Callithrix jacchus: one gene and its partners. The protein of the gene in region 1 purifies or fractionates together with the protein of each later gene. This does not show direct contact. Links are inferred from orthologs where the notes say so. Each region holds a gene or a part of one and is shown in the gene's direction. Other genes may lie near its edges.

Region 1 (3,500 bases):
GGAGCCAGGGAAAGGGGCCCCAGTCCTCCTTGAAGCTGGGGATCTACTTTTGCTTATGGCATTTTTTTTCTGTTGAGTGAGCAGAGGTGCAGGGTCCCTGTGTCCTGTGCCTCGGCCTGGGGGCATAAGGGACCTAGGTACCTATTGGCTGTCATTTAGCTCTTTTTTTTTTTTTTTTGAGATGGAGTTTCGCTGTTGTTACCCAGACTGGAGTGCAATGGCACAATCTTGGCTCACCACAACCTCTGCCTTCTGGGTTTAAGCAATTCTCCTGCCTCAGCCTCCCGAGTAGCTGGGACTACAGGTGCGCACCACCATGCCCAGCTAATTTTTTTTTTTTTTGTATTTTTAGTAGAGACGGGGTTTCACCTTGTTGACCACAATGGTCTCGATCTCTTGACCTTGTGATCCACCCGCTTCAGCTTCCCAAAGTGCTGGGATTATAGGTGTGAGCCACAGCGCCCGGCCTTGGCTGTCATTTAGCTCTAAGTGTGCTCTCACTCTCAGGGCAGGACTGTTCCTGTCTCTCTCCTTGGAGGAGGGGGTTGCGGGGAGGTCTTCAGGGGTAGATGAAAGAGAAAAGAAACAGATCTTGCTGTTTTTCCCTCTGCCTCACCCCCTAGATTCCACAGGTTTTGGTGAAGTTGAAGAAATACTTTCACGGGGACAAGGTGAGTTGAGGAATTGAGATGGAGTCATGGGAGCAAAAACAAGGGCAAGGGAAGGGTCCTTCAGGCCCCAACCGGACAGTGTTCTCATGCCTGGAAGAGAGCTGGATGCGTGTGTGCATGTGTGCACCTCAGTGTGTGTGTGCTTTGCTGTGTATGTGCTTCAGTGTGTGTGCTTTAGTGTGTGTATGTGCTTCAGTGTGTGTTTCAGTGTGTGCACCTGCCTCACCATGAGTGTGCTTCAGTGTGTGTATGTTTTAGTGTGTGTGCTTCAGTTTGCGTGTGTGCTTCAGTGTGTTTCAGTGTGTGCATGCGCTTCCGTGTGTGCTTCAGTGTGTGTGCGCTTCAGTGTGTGCGCTTTAGAGTGTGTGCTTCAGTGTGTGTGTTTCAGTGTGTGTGCTTCAGTGTGTGTGCGCTTCAGTGTGTGTGCTTCAGTGTGTGTGTGTTTCAGTGTGTGTGCTTCAGTGTGTGCGCTTTAGAGTGTGTGTGCTTCAGTGTGTGTGCACTTCAGTGTGTTCGCTTCAGTGTATGTGCTTCAGTGTGTGCACTTCAGTGTGTTCGCTTCAGTGTATGTGCTTCAGTGTGTGTGTGTGCTTCAGTGTGTGTGCACTTCAGTGTGTGTTCGCTTCAGTGTATGTATGCTTCAGTGTGTGTGTGCTTCAGTGTGTATGTGCGCTTCAGTGTGTGTGCGCTTCAGTGTGTGTGTGTGCTTCAGTGTGTATGTGTGCTTGTGTGTGCGCTTCAGTGTGTGTGTGCTTCAGTGTGTATGTGCGCTTGTGTGTGTGCGCTTCAGTGTGTGTGCTTCAGTGTGTGTGTGTGCTTCAGTGTGTATGTGCGCTTCAGTGTGTGTGTGCTTCAGTGTGCGTGTGCTTCAGTGTGCGTGTGCTTCAGTGTGTGTGTGCTTCAGTGTGTGTGTGTGCTTCAGTGTGCATGTGCTTCAGTGTGCGTGTACTTCAGTGTGTGTGCTTCAGTGTGTGTGTGCTTCAGTGTGCGTGTACTTCAGTGTGTGTGTGCTTCAGTGTGTATGTGTGCTTCAGTGTGCATGTGCTTCAGTGTGCGTGTACTTCAGTGTGTGTGCTTCAGTGTGCGTGTGCTTCAGTGTGTGTGTGCTTCAGTGTGTGTGTACTTCAGTGTGTGTGTGTGCTTCAGTGTGTGTGTGTGCTTCAGTGTGTGTGCGTGCTTCAGTGTGTGTGTGCTTCAGTGTGTGTGTGCGCTTCAGTGTGTATGTGTGCTTCAGTGTGTGTGTGTTCAGTGTGTGTGCGCTTCAGTATGTGTATGTGCTTCAGTGTGTGCGCCTGCTTCAGCATGAGTATGCTTCAGTGTGCGTGTGCTTCAGTTTGTGTGTGTTTCAGCATGTGCACCTGTGTCAGAGTGTGTGTGTGTTCGCTTCAGCATGTGCGTGCACCCACAGCATATACCCAGGCTCCAGGCAGAAGGCAGCTAGGCAGCTCAGGCTGATGCCTCCAGCAGTCAAGCTTGCCTGAGATGATAAGGGCCGGGTGGCGCTGTGGGGAGCAGTGATGCCGCGTACTTCTTCCCAGCCAGTCGCTGGGAACCAGCGGTGGGCAGGGCCTGCTTACAGGCTGTGTATCCAGCAGCGTGTCCTTGTGAGCCTGCCCTGCAGGTTGAGGGAGGAGCAGAGGACCTGGAAACCAGGTAGACACTTCTGTCTCTTTTTAGGACTTCACTGAGGATGTCAACTGTGCTTTTGAGTTCCTGCTGAAGCTCACACCCTTGTTGGACAAAGCTGACCAGCGCTGCAAGTATGAGCTCCCCTGCTCACCCCTGCCCTACTGGAAGGTGTTCTGGGCTCTTCCCTGATCTGTGCCTGAAAAGCTTCAGGGGACTCTGTCCCCTTGTTCACTCCCCTTGGGAGGGGCAGAAAGCAGAAGCCCATAGTTGTCAAGTCCGCAGAGCCCCTCTACTGTCCCTCAGGCACTCCAGATTTTCCTCATCCTGAAAGAGGGAGGAGGATGCTCAGGGACCTGCTGCTCCCTCTGCCCCCCAACATCCCAGCCAGATGCACAGTTCCCTCAGCATCTTTCTCCCTCGCAGCTGTGACTGTACAAACTTCCTGCTCCAAGAATGTGGCAAGCAGGGGCTTCTGTCTGAGGCCAGCGTGAACAACCTTATGACTAAGCGGTAAGTGTGAGCGCACCTGGGCTACCCCAAGAGCCCCTTGATCTCTTTCTTGTTACGATGGGCCTGCTGGGTGCCTTTCAATCTTCTGTCTAAAGTGTGGGCTGCAAGTGACTGGGATCATGCCTCAGTGTACAGGGAACAGGAAGGAAAAGAAGGCACCAGTGTCTTCAGACCAGAGTTTTACACTCTTAGTCACTGCTCTTTAACTCATACCCATCTTTGTGATAAAAGTAAAAATCCTAGGCCGGAGGCGGGTGGATTACTTGGAGGCTAGGAGTTCAAGACCAGCCTGGCCAACATGGCAAAACCCCATCTCTACTAAAAATACAAAAATCAGCTGGGCATGTGGTATGCACCTGTAATCCCAGCTACTTGGGAGGCTGAGGCATGAGCATTGCTTAAACCCAGGAGGTGGAGATTGCAGTGAGCTGAGATTGCACCATTGCACTCCAGCCTCGGCAACAGAGTGAGACCTTGTCTCAAAAAAAAAAAAAAAAAAAAAAAATTCTGAATCTTCTTTTAATCTTAAATCTGCTTTCAGAGCATTTAAGATGAATCATAGGCTGGGTGGGGTGGCTCATGCCTTAATCCCAGCACTTTGGGAGGCTGAGGCAGGTGGATCACAAGATCAGGTGAAACCCCGTCTCTACCAAAAATAGAAAAATTAGCAAGGTTTGGTGATGCGGCCTG
Region 2 (2,270 bases), about 2.6 Mb from region 1:
CCGGCATCCACCTGAGCCCTGAACAGCAGCAGCAGCAGCTGCACAGCCTCCGGGATCAAGTCAGGACCAAGAACGAGCTTCTGCAAAAGTACAAGAGCCTCTGCATGTTCGAAATCCCCAAGGAGTAGAGCGAGGCCGACTTCCAGGAGCACCTGAGAAAGAGGGAAGCAAATGGCCTGTCACCCCACAGCCACTACCCCCCCGGCCGAACGCTTGTTGGGGCACAGTTCCTGTGGAACCCAGCTCAGAACTTCAAGCTGCAGGGGCGGGGTTCCTGTGCGGGAGCCAGCGCCGAGAGCTTGGCTGTGCTGGGGCTTCCTTGTGTAGATCCATATGTCTAGATGCATAATAACTGGAGTGCCTGCTGGTGGAAGTCAGAATGCTCCTGGAGGCTGCGGAGGGGGTGGAGGACTCTCCCTTGCCTCTGGGGAGGGGGCCATCTGCTTCGCATCCAGCCCCACTGACAGATCTGAAGAACACAGTAAGAAGGGAGGCGGTTCCTCTCTGCTTCCTTCCCTCCCCCTCCTCCCACCCCCATAGGATCAGTGTGTACCAGGTACATATTGTTCCTGTTAGCAGCAGCTTCTTGAAACACTTGCATAGAATCCACTGGACAAATTAAGCCTGCGCTCATATGGCATAGAGCTGTGAGAGAATGTTTTGAAAGGCCACAGGGTGGCTTTTTTCCCAGTTTGGTTCCTTTTCTGTTTGAGCGGTGAAGGAACTATAGCTGTGGGGGTGTCGGCCCACACCCCTGCCAGGCAGCCCCTGGCTGCAGCTTCCCTGCTTCCTAGCACTCTCCTCTCCTTCAGCGCTTGCTCTCTTCCTTGCTCGGCACCTTCAGTCAGTGCCCAGGGCTGGCAAGGGGCCGTCCTTTCCACTCAGGCTGGAAGAGGTCTTCAGGCGGACAGACCTGTCTTCTGTCATTTCAGATTCCCATTGCCGTGGTGAAAAGGTCTTTCCCTTCTGTTCTCACTTGTGGCAGCGATGTGTACTATGCTGCAGAGGGGTTCATGATGCACCTTGTGTTCAGAGAGGGGCAGTTCGGGTGGTCCTCAGCCATGAGCTAGGCCTGACAGTGACACAGCCAAGTTTGAGCTCTTAAAGGTTTATAGCAGCCCTCATTTCCCCAGCATCCCTGATTTCTTCCGGATGGGACATTTTCTTTGTTTGCTCTCCCTTGACTGTCAAATTGAGGTAGGAGTAGTTCTCACCCTTGCTTCTCCAAGAGGGGGTGCCAAGTCCTGGAGTGTTGTTTGGGTCTAGGAATGAGCACACAACCTGCGCTGACCACTTCGGGGACTTAGCAGATGCCCGCCAACTGACCTCATTGGTAGGAGGACTGGGTGAAGATGTTTTTAGCAGAGCTGCCATTAGTGTCCAACTGCAGCTACCTATCAGAATGTGGGTGGTATATTGGGGACCTGGGGATGTGTGAAGGAGGAGACCAGATTTCAGTGGCTTTGCACAAAAAAGTAGGCTCGGAATTCAAGTGGGTGGTCACCTGTTAGACCAGTTCTACCTTGGAACTGTTATTTAACTGAATCAGTTATTTCCTTGAAATTTCACAGTTGCGGGTCGGCCACTTTTAAGGCTCTGACAGATACCATGAAACATGAAGCACATGGAAATCTAAGACCCTTGGGGTCTGAATGCAAGGCTGAAATGAACAAGGGCTCCTCACGCGGGTGGAGGGAGCTGGAGCCTACCTTGTGTTCCTGTTTTGACTTGTGACATTCAAACGCATAATTAAAAGGACTTGTACTCTGCTGTTTCTGGACATCATGCTTTCTGTACTGAGAAATTCATAGTGGGATGCTCTCAGATCATTTAGAGGAAAATGTTTCTCTTACTCTGTTCAGACACAGAACCAACCCTCTGTTCCTCAACTCCCTCCACTCACCTGCTGAACCAGTGTGGAACAGGAACTCCTCTCCCGGCTGGCCTCAAGGGGAGTTTGCCTGGCAGGTCATCCCTGCCCCTGCCTGGCACGGGCCCCTGGGCATCCGTGGTTGCCTTTGATGGAGTGGCAGGGTGGGAGTGGGGGTCCAGTGCCTTTTGGTGACTGGAGGTTTAGTCCTGCCAGAACTGCCCTCCCTGAGCAGGGTTGAAATCCTTCTAGGACAATTGTTGAGTGTTCCTCACAGGGCTGAGCACCCTCTCAAAGCCACTAATTATTTGGATTACTGGGTGGCATGCATTTGTGCTAAGTACTTTTCAGATACCACACTTAATCCTCACAGCAAGCCCATGCAGAGGGTGCTCTGCCC
Region 3 (3,500 bases), about 600 kb from region 1:
AGAGGCTGTGAGTCTGGTGGTAACTGCTGAAGACACCAGCTCCACTGGGGCCTAGGTGGCCTGAGTTCCCCTGCAGCCAACCCTCTGGAAGACGGGAGGGAGACCTGACCTTTCAGCCTCGTAGGAACTAGACAGGAGTAATCCCCAGGGGGCGTGGAGCACAGGGCTGTCTGTGACTGTGACCCTGGCCAAGGTCACTGTGTCAGTGTGTTGGGAGCTGTATCCGGCTCCAGGAGGAAGGGGCCTGCAACATGCCACAGGCAGGGTGGGTGCGGAGGTTATGCAATCCTTGCATGCATGTAGACAGCTTACATAACCTGTGTGCGCCGAGGTTATGTAACGTTTGTGTGGAGAGCTGGCAACATATATGTGCAGTGGCTGAGGGTTGCTGATAATACTTTGCACAGAGGGGCTCAGGCATGGCTGACTCCAGCTCATGGTGTCACCAGGCACAAGTGGGGCCTCAGCTTGCTGCTCTGTTAAATGTAGGCTGTGCAGAGGGTGGCTCTAGTGTTTTCCATTGCTGTGGGTTACTTAGCATGTGTGTATGACGTGGAACTCAAGCAACACCTGCACACGGGAGGGATGGGGGTGAGTTCATGAGGTGCCTGTGCAGAGGGCTGCGTAACACATGGGCATATCCTGGAGGTCGTATAGCACATTAAGAATGCCCTGGAGGCCGGGCGCGGTGGCTCACGCCTGTAATCCCAGCACTTTGGGAGGCCGAGGTGGGTGGATCACGAGGTCAAGAGATCAAGACCATCCTGGTCAACGTGGTGAAACCCCGTCTCTACTAAAAATACAAAAAATTAGCTGGGCGTGGCGGCACATGCCTGTAGTCCCAGCTACTCAGGAGGCTGAGGCAGGAGAATTGCCTGAACCCAGGAGGCGGAGGTTGCGGTGAGCCGAGATTGCACCATTGCACTCCAGCCTGGGTAGCAAGAGCGAAACTCCATCTCAATTAAAAAAAAAAACAAAAAAACAATGCCCCGGAAATTACACAGATATGTCAGCCCTGGCGCATACTTACTATACTTGGGTTTATGGCGAAGGCTGCATGGTTATTCATCCGCGCCAGTGTTATGTTGCATATGTATGTGTGTGTTCTATAGGTTACGTAGCTCTAAGCATATCCTGAGAATTCTTCCAGCGTATTTATCATGTACTACAAGATGAGGATGTCCCGTGGATGATGGGAGCTTCAGGTGTGCTTCGGGTCTTCTGGCGGGTGAACGTGTGTGTGTTGGGGCTCTAGAGCAGGTTTGTGCTGCAGCCAAGCCCCTTATCTTTCTCTCCTGCAGCTTCCAGATAGCTGGACCCTTTTAAGCATTGTCAGCTGACCCAGGGGGGTCGAGGGAGGTAGAATGAGGACACAAAATGGAAAGAATCAGGCCTGGGGGGATTGTATAAGCCTCTCGGAGGAGAAGGGGGTTGCCCAAAGACTGCTCTGTGATTCTATCCACTTTACCCCCATCCAGTGCCAGGTCACCAGATGGAAAGAGAAAAAGAAAGAACGGCCAATGTTCCCTGAAAACCAGCATGTCAGGTGAGGCTGGCCATGCGTGCCCCTTCTCCACACCCGACCCCACCAAACCTGGCCAGGCCTCCTCCGGACCTGGACGTGTCCCAGCAGCTCCTGTGTTCCCTGCGGGGAGCCTCCTAGAGGGCTTGGGATGGCCTTGTCTGGGGTGAGAAAGGTGATGGGGGATGTACCCTGCTTTTGAGGGTGTATTAGATCATGAAGGCCTCTTCCCTCCTTCCCTAACACCCTCATCTGAGGCCCCACTGGAATCAGGACCTGAGCTGAAGGACTGAGGGGCTTTCCCCTCCCCAGTGAGCTGCTGACACTTATTTTTCCCTCCCCACCATCCTCTGCCTTGTAGATAGAGCAAGAAGAAAGCCCTGAATGGGCAATCAGAAGACCTGAGATTCTTCATACTCTTAGGGCAGAGGATGGGCAAGTTCACCCCCAGTGTCTCTCTAGGATTCTACCAGGGAGGCTGGTCTAGGAGAGGGGCCAAAAACAAAAAGTTGAGGGAAGGGGAAAAGTGTGAGGGCCTCTGTGCTGGGACTGCAAGCCATGCCTGCCTTCCTCCATCCTTTCCTTCCTCCCAGGGTATATCCCTAGTTACCTGGACAAAGACGAGCAGTGTGTCGTGTGTGGGGACAAGGCAACTGGTTATCACTACCGCTGTATCACTTGTGAGGGCTGCAAGGTATGGAAGCCACCTCCTGCCCCTCCCCTGCCACCTGAGCCCCATCTTACTCCCTTTAAGTCTCTCAGAACCTGGCACGACAGACAAAATCTATAAATATGTCAATATGTCACCTAAAGCCCACCTGTTAGGTCATCACTTCTTTTTTTTTTTTTTTTTTTTTTTTGAGATGGAATTTCACTCTTGTCACCCAGGCTGAAGTGCAGTAGCATGATCTCAGCTCACTGCCACCTCCACCTACCGGGTTCAAACAATTCCCCTACCTCGGCCTCCCAAGTAGCTGGGATTACAGGCATGTGCCACCAGACCCAGCTAATTTTTTTGGATTTTTAGTAGAGACGGGGTTTCACCATGTTGGCCAGGTTGGTCTTGAACTCTTGACCTCAGGTGATCCACCTGCCTTGGCCTCCCAAAGTGCTGGGATTATAGGAGTGAGCCACTGCGCCTGGCCACTTTCTCTTCTGCTACTCATTCATTCATAATCCCTCCTCTGCCACTCACAAGAAAATTGCCTAGCTTTTCTTAGCCTCAGTTTCTTCATCTATAAAATAAGGATAATCATTCCATCTACCTTCTAGCATTGTTGGGAAAATTAAATGGGATAATTCACTTGAAGTGTTTAAAACAGTAACACTGGATGCCGTGGCTCACGCCTAAAAATCCCAGTCCTTTGGGAGGAAGGTCAAGGTGGGAGCATCCCTTGATCCCAGGAGTTTGAGACCAGCCTGGGCAACATAGCAAGACCCTGTCTTTACAAAATAAAAATTAAAGAAATTAGCTAGGTGTGGTGGTGCATGCCTATAGTCCCAGCTACTCAAGAGGCTGAGGTGGGAGGATTGCTTGAACCCAAAAAGTTAAGGCTGCAGTGAATTGTGATGGTGCTACTGCACTCCAGTCTAGGTGACAGAGCAAGACTCTGTCTCAAAATAAAAGAAAACATAAAAGATAACTCTCCCTATTGCTGTGTGCGGCAGCTCACACCTGTAATCCCAGCACTTTAGGAGGCCGAGGCGGGTGGATCACCAGAGGTCGGGAGTTTGAGACCAGCCTGACCAACATGGAAAAACCCCATCTCTACTAAAAATACAAAATTAGCTGGGCGTGGTGGTGCATGCCTGTATTCCCAGATACTCGGGAGGGTGAAGCAGGAGAATTGCTTGAACCCAGGAGATGGAGGTTGCAGTAAACTGAGATTGTACCATTGCACTCCAATCTGGGCAACAAGAGTGAAACTCCATCTCAATAAATAAATAAGTAAATAAAACAGACTGGGTGTGGTGGCTC
Region 4 (3,500 bases), on another chromosome or scaffold:
AGCAAAGTGTTCCTCTTGGTAGGTGCTTCTCTCCCAGACTGAAATCTGATCCTTGGTGCAACTCTTGCCTTCTCCAATTTACTTAGCTATTCCTCCTCTTTAGAAACTAAAGAAATTGGTGGATACTGGGGCAAAATTAAACATTTTTTTGTTATGATGTCACCCTTAACTTTCAGCATTAACTTTTTAAATGATTTATCAGCAGAAAATGAACTTTAAAATGGCTTTAATCCTGATGATTTCTGCCAGTTTTACATAAAAGTACGTAATATGTATAATCTGCAGTGAGCTATACAAAATATTTCATATTAATCCTGTTACACAGTAATACAAAAGACAAGGTGTTGACTTGTAAACAACCTTTTCGTGTGTTGTAAATTTCCTGTGTGTCACTCTAGCTTCAGAAACTCCTGACCATGGATCCAACCAAGAGAATTACCTCAGAGCAAGCTCTGCAGGATCCCTATTTTCAGGAGGACCCCTTGCCAACATTAGAGTATGTATCTCGTCTTTTCTGTGTCCTTTGCTCTAGGCTGAGGATGTCGCATGGTGGTTGAAAGCAAGGGAAGCACTTGCTACTGAAGTATTCAGCTTTTTTAGCAATACCACCTAAAGACTGCTTGAGACAAAGCTTCCACATTTTGAAACAGGCAAAGCTGTAGAGAGGTATGAATGAAAACAAGTGTTTTAGGAATGACCATTTGCAGTTTTACAGATGAAAACTAAAGCTGAGACTAGTTAAGATCTTTATAGACCATTTGGCCGGATCAGAAATTCAGCCAAACCAGCAGGTAACTGAGAAGTTAATCTGTCTTCCAGAGCATGTCCATTACGCTACAAAACCCCTGTACTTCATCCTTCTTACCCCCAAGTATATACTTTGTGTTTTCATCTACAAGAGGTGCAGTTATTCTTGTTAAAGCAAATACAAATTAGTTTTGGTGCTAATGAAGTTAGTATAGAGAAACTTCTATGTCCAATATGTTGACTAGCTAGCAGCAGTCAAGATTTGAAATTGAAAGTAGCAATTATTATAAAACTTCATACAATTGATTGTTCTTTTCTTATTGCTTAAGTTGTGATAGGAGGCACATAGCAAACACCAGCCACAGATGAAGAGTAGGAAATAAGTGAAGAAAAACAAATTGGAATTTTAAATTAACAAGGTATGATATTATAGATTTTAGATCATGATATTTTTTTTTCTTTTTAATGATTTTTAGTGTATTTGCTGGCTGCCAGATTCCATACCCCAAACGAGAATTCCTTAATGAAGATGAACCTGAAGAAAAAGGTGACAAGGTATAAACTGCATGCTATACTTTCATTTCCAAAGAGCGAGGGAGGCAAAAAGATAGCTTAGGTATCACTCCATAATTCCTGTATATTTAACGACCTTTTCTAATATTTAATTAAATTTTTATGTATCTTTCCGTGGAAGTTTGGGGATTGTAAAGGTGCCCTGAAGTTTGAAGTATGAGCAGCTCGCGGATACCTGAGCTTCCGGTGTGTGCCCCAGCCTGTTCCACTCCTGGAGTCCCCCTTCTTGCTCTTGCTGTTTGTTTGCTGTCACTGCCACCCCTTTATGCAGGCTGACTTTTGCAAGCATCACTCTATTCTTTCCTCTTAACTGGATATATTGGCTCACTCTCCAGACTGTTCTGCCTTTCCAGAGTCATGATTGAAAAGATTTCTTATAGCTTTTTGTGAGCTCTAAGAAGTCTATTTCTGATGTGCCTGTGGCCGTCTGTGACTGATTTGGAGGATCACTGTGCAATCTAAAGGAACTTCAGGGTAAGAGCCCTGTTTGGGGCTTGGCGCCCTGCCTTTTGGGAACACCGTGCTCCCTGGCTGCTCCATTCTCCTGTCCTCCCAGTCACTCTAGTGTTGCACATAGATTGCTCCCCCAGGTTGGTCAGCAGCCTCATGTGCATATCAAATAATTAAAGAAAGTTTTTGTTAATTTGGTTTCATACCAAGCTTGCTTCTTTCCCCTTAAAAGAATCAGCAACAGCAGCAGAACCAGCATCAGCAGCCCACAGCCCCTCCACAGCAGGCAGCAGCCCCTCCACAGGCGCCCCCACCCCAGCAGAACAGCACCCAGACCAACGGGACCGCTGGTGGGGCCGGGGCCGGGGTCGGGGGCACTGGAACAGGGTTGCAGCACAGCCAGGACTCCGGCCTGAACCAGGTGCCTCCGAACAAGAAGCCACGGCTAGGGCCTTCAGGCGCAAACTCAGGCGGGCCTGTGATGCCCTCGGATTATCAGGTACTCCCTGAATGTCTAATGTTCATATGCTTTATGAAGTGGGAATAGATTTATACTAGACCCTGTTAGAGTTAGGTAACACTTAACTCTTAGATTTGACTGTGCCACCTATACAATCCTATTTCTAGGGCATTCTTTGAAAGGGAAGATTTTCATCATATTTCATATAATTGTAAGCTATCTCATATTCTGCCTTATGTATCCTGAACCCCTTAGGAGAGGAAGGTAGGGAGGGGAGCGCCCCCCTCCTTAAAGAAAACTTCATCATTTTACCCTTACATCTGCCTTAGCAGTGCAGTCGAAAAGAGGAGGCGAGTGGTTGCTTATTATGGACAAAATTAATTGCATTCTTCAGAAAGATATGCTCTTCCTGGGAGAAAATAGCTACATAGATGAAGAAGAGAAGGGGGCTAAGACTGAGGCTTCTCTGAAATAACTGTTAAGTCTCAATAGAAATAATTTTGAGACTAGAAAATACTGTTATTCAGATAAAAAGAGAACACCAATTGCAGTACTAATTCCGGAAATTAACGGAACTAAGTTTAAGGATTGGTATTTGGAGAGAAAGGTAAAAATACCCATTGTGATAACTGTAGGAAATCTTGAAAAATAAAATTCTTTTCAAGGTAGTAACAAGTTAAGAAAACATCCAAGAAGAAGAGAAAACTTAATTTTTTTTTTTTTTTAAGTTTAGAACCACAGTCCCTCAGGGAACTCTTGGAGATGAGTACTTAGGATAGAGTTAATAGAAAACAAAACCTCTGGCAAGGGAGCCATAAACTCACTGATGAGGAACTGCAATAGAGAGAAACGGTAACAAGAAGGACGTAACAAATAGCTGCCTAAACTGCCTTTACATTTTGAATAGCTCCAAAACGAATGTGTTTCCACACAGCTACTTCTCTGAAAAACTTCTCTTCTGAAGATCCCTGCCAGCAGAAGGGTACATATTACTTCCACTTGGTTCCAATTAAACAAATTGAGGCTTCAGTTTGATCTGAAAACAGCTTGCTATCTGGGTAGTAGCACGAGCATATTTGAATTTTGTTATGAAATCTGTTCCCCACCCTGTTATCTGAGCAACAAATACTTCCTATATACTGGTTCATCTTTGTGTCTCTGATTAAATCATATTAACCTGTGTTAAAAAAATTTACATAAACACTTGTTAAAGTTGGTAAGGCAGACTTTATTCAAGGCAGGGCCATGGCAGTGCGTAAAAACACCACTG

The links. The genes of interacting proteins can lie anywhere in the genome.
Region 2: the proteins of mediator of RNA polymerase II transcription subunit 24 (region 1) and MED9 purify together in Homo sapiens (affinity purification with mass spectrometry; 5 studies listed by BioGRID and IntAct, with this or other methods). This does not show direct contact. The link is inferred for Callithrix jacchus from reciprocal best matches to the Homo sapiens genes MED24 and MED9.
Region 3: the proteins of mediator of RNA polymerase II transcription subunit 24 (region 1) and THRA purify together in Homo sapiens (affinity purification with western blotting; 3 studies listed by BioGRID, with this or other methods). This does not show direct contact. The link is inferred for Callithrix jacchus from reciprocal best matches to the Homo sapiens genes MED24 and THRA.
Region 4: the proteins of mediator of RNA polymerase II transcription subunit 24 (region 1) and CDK19 purify together in Homo sapiens (affinity purification with mass spectrometry; 6 studies listed by BioGRID and IntAct, counting the BioPlex papers as one, with this or other methods). This does not show direct contact. The link is inferred for Callithrix jacchus from reciprocal best matches to the Homo sapiens genes MED24 and CDK19.

The regions. Positions count from the first base shown.
Region 1 is NC_133506.1:72,288,023-72,291,522, forward strand, and holds part of mediator of RNA polymerase II transcription subunit 24, read left to right. Parts: intron 1-623; coding exon 624-671; intron 672-2,348; coding exon 2,349-2,431; intron 2,432-2,723; coding exon 2,724-2,810; intron 2,811-3,500. UniProt on the Homo sapiens protein: Component of the Mediator complex, a coactivator involved in the regulated transcription of nearly all RNA polymerase II-dependent genes.
Region 2 is NC_133506.1:69,656,775-69,659,044, reverse strand, and holds the end of MED9 (mediator of RNA polymerase II transcription subunit 9), read left to right. Parts: coding exon 1-128; 3' UTR 129-1,770; downstream 1,771-2,270.
Region 3 is NC_133506.1:71,685,831-71,689,330, forward strand, and holds part of THRA (thyroid hormone receptor alpha), read left to right. Parts: intron 1-1,478; coding exon 1,479-1,546; intron 1,547-2,115; coding exon 2,116-2,216; intron 2,217-3,500.
Region 4 is NC_133505.1:116,792,894-116,796,393, reverse strand, and holds part of CDK19 (cyclin-dependent kinase 19), read left to right. Parts: coding exon 1-18; intron 19-398; coding exon 399-496; intron 497-1,223; coding exon 1,224-1,302; intron 1,303-2,002; coding exon 2,003-2,269; intron 2,270-3,500.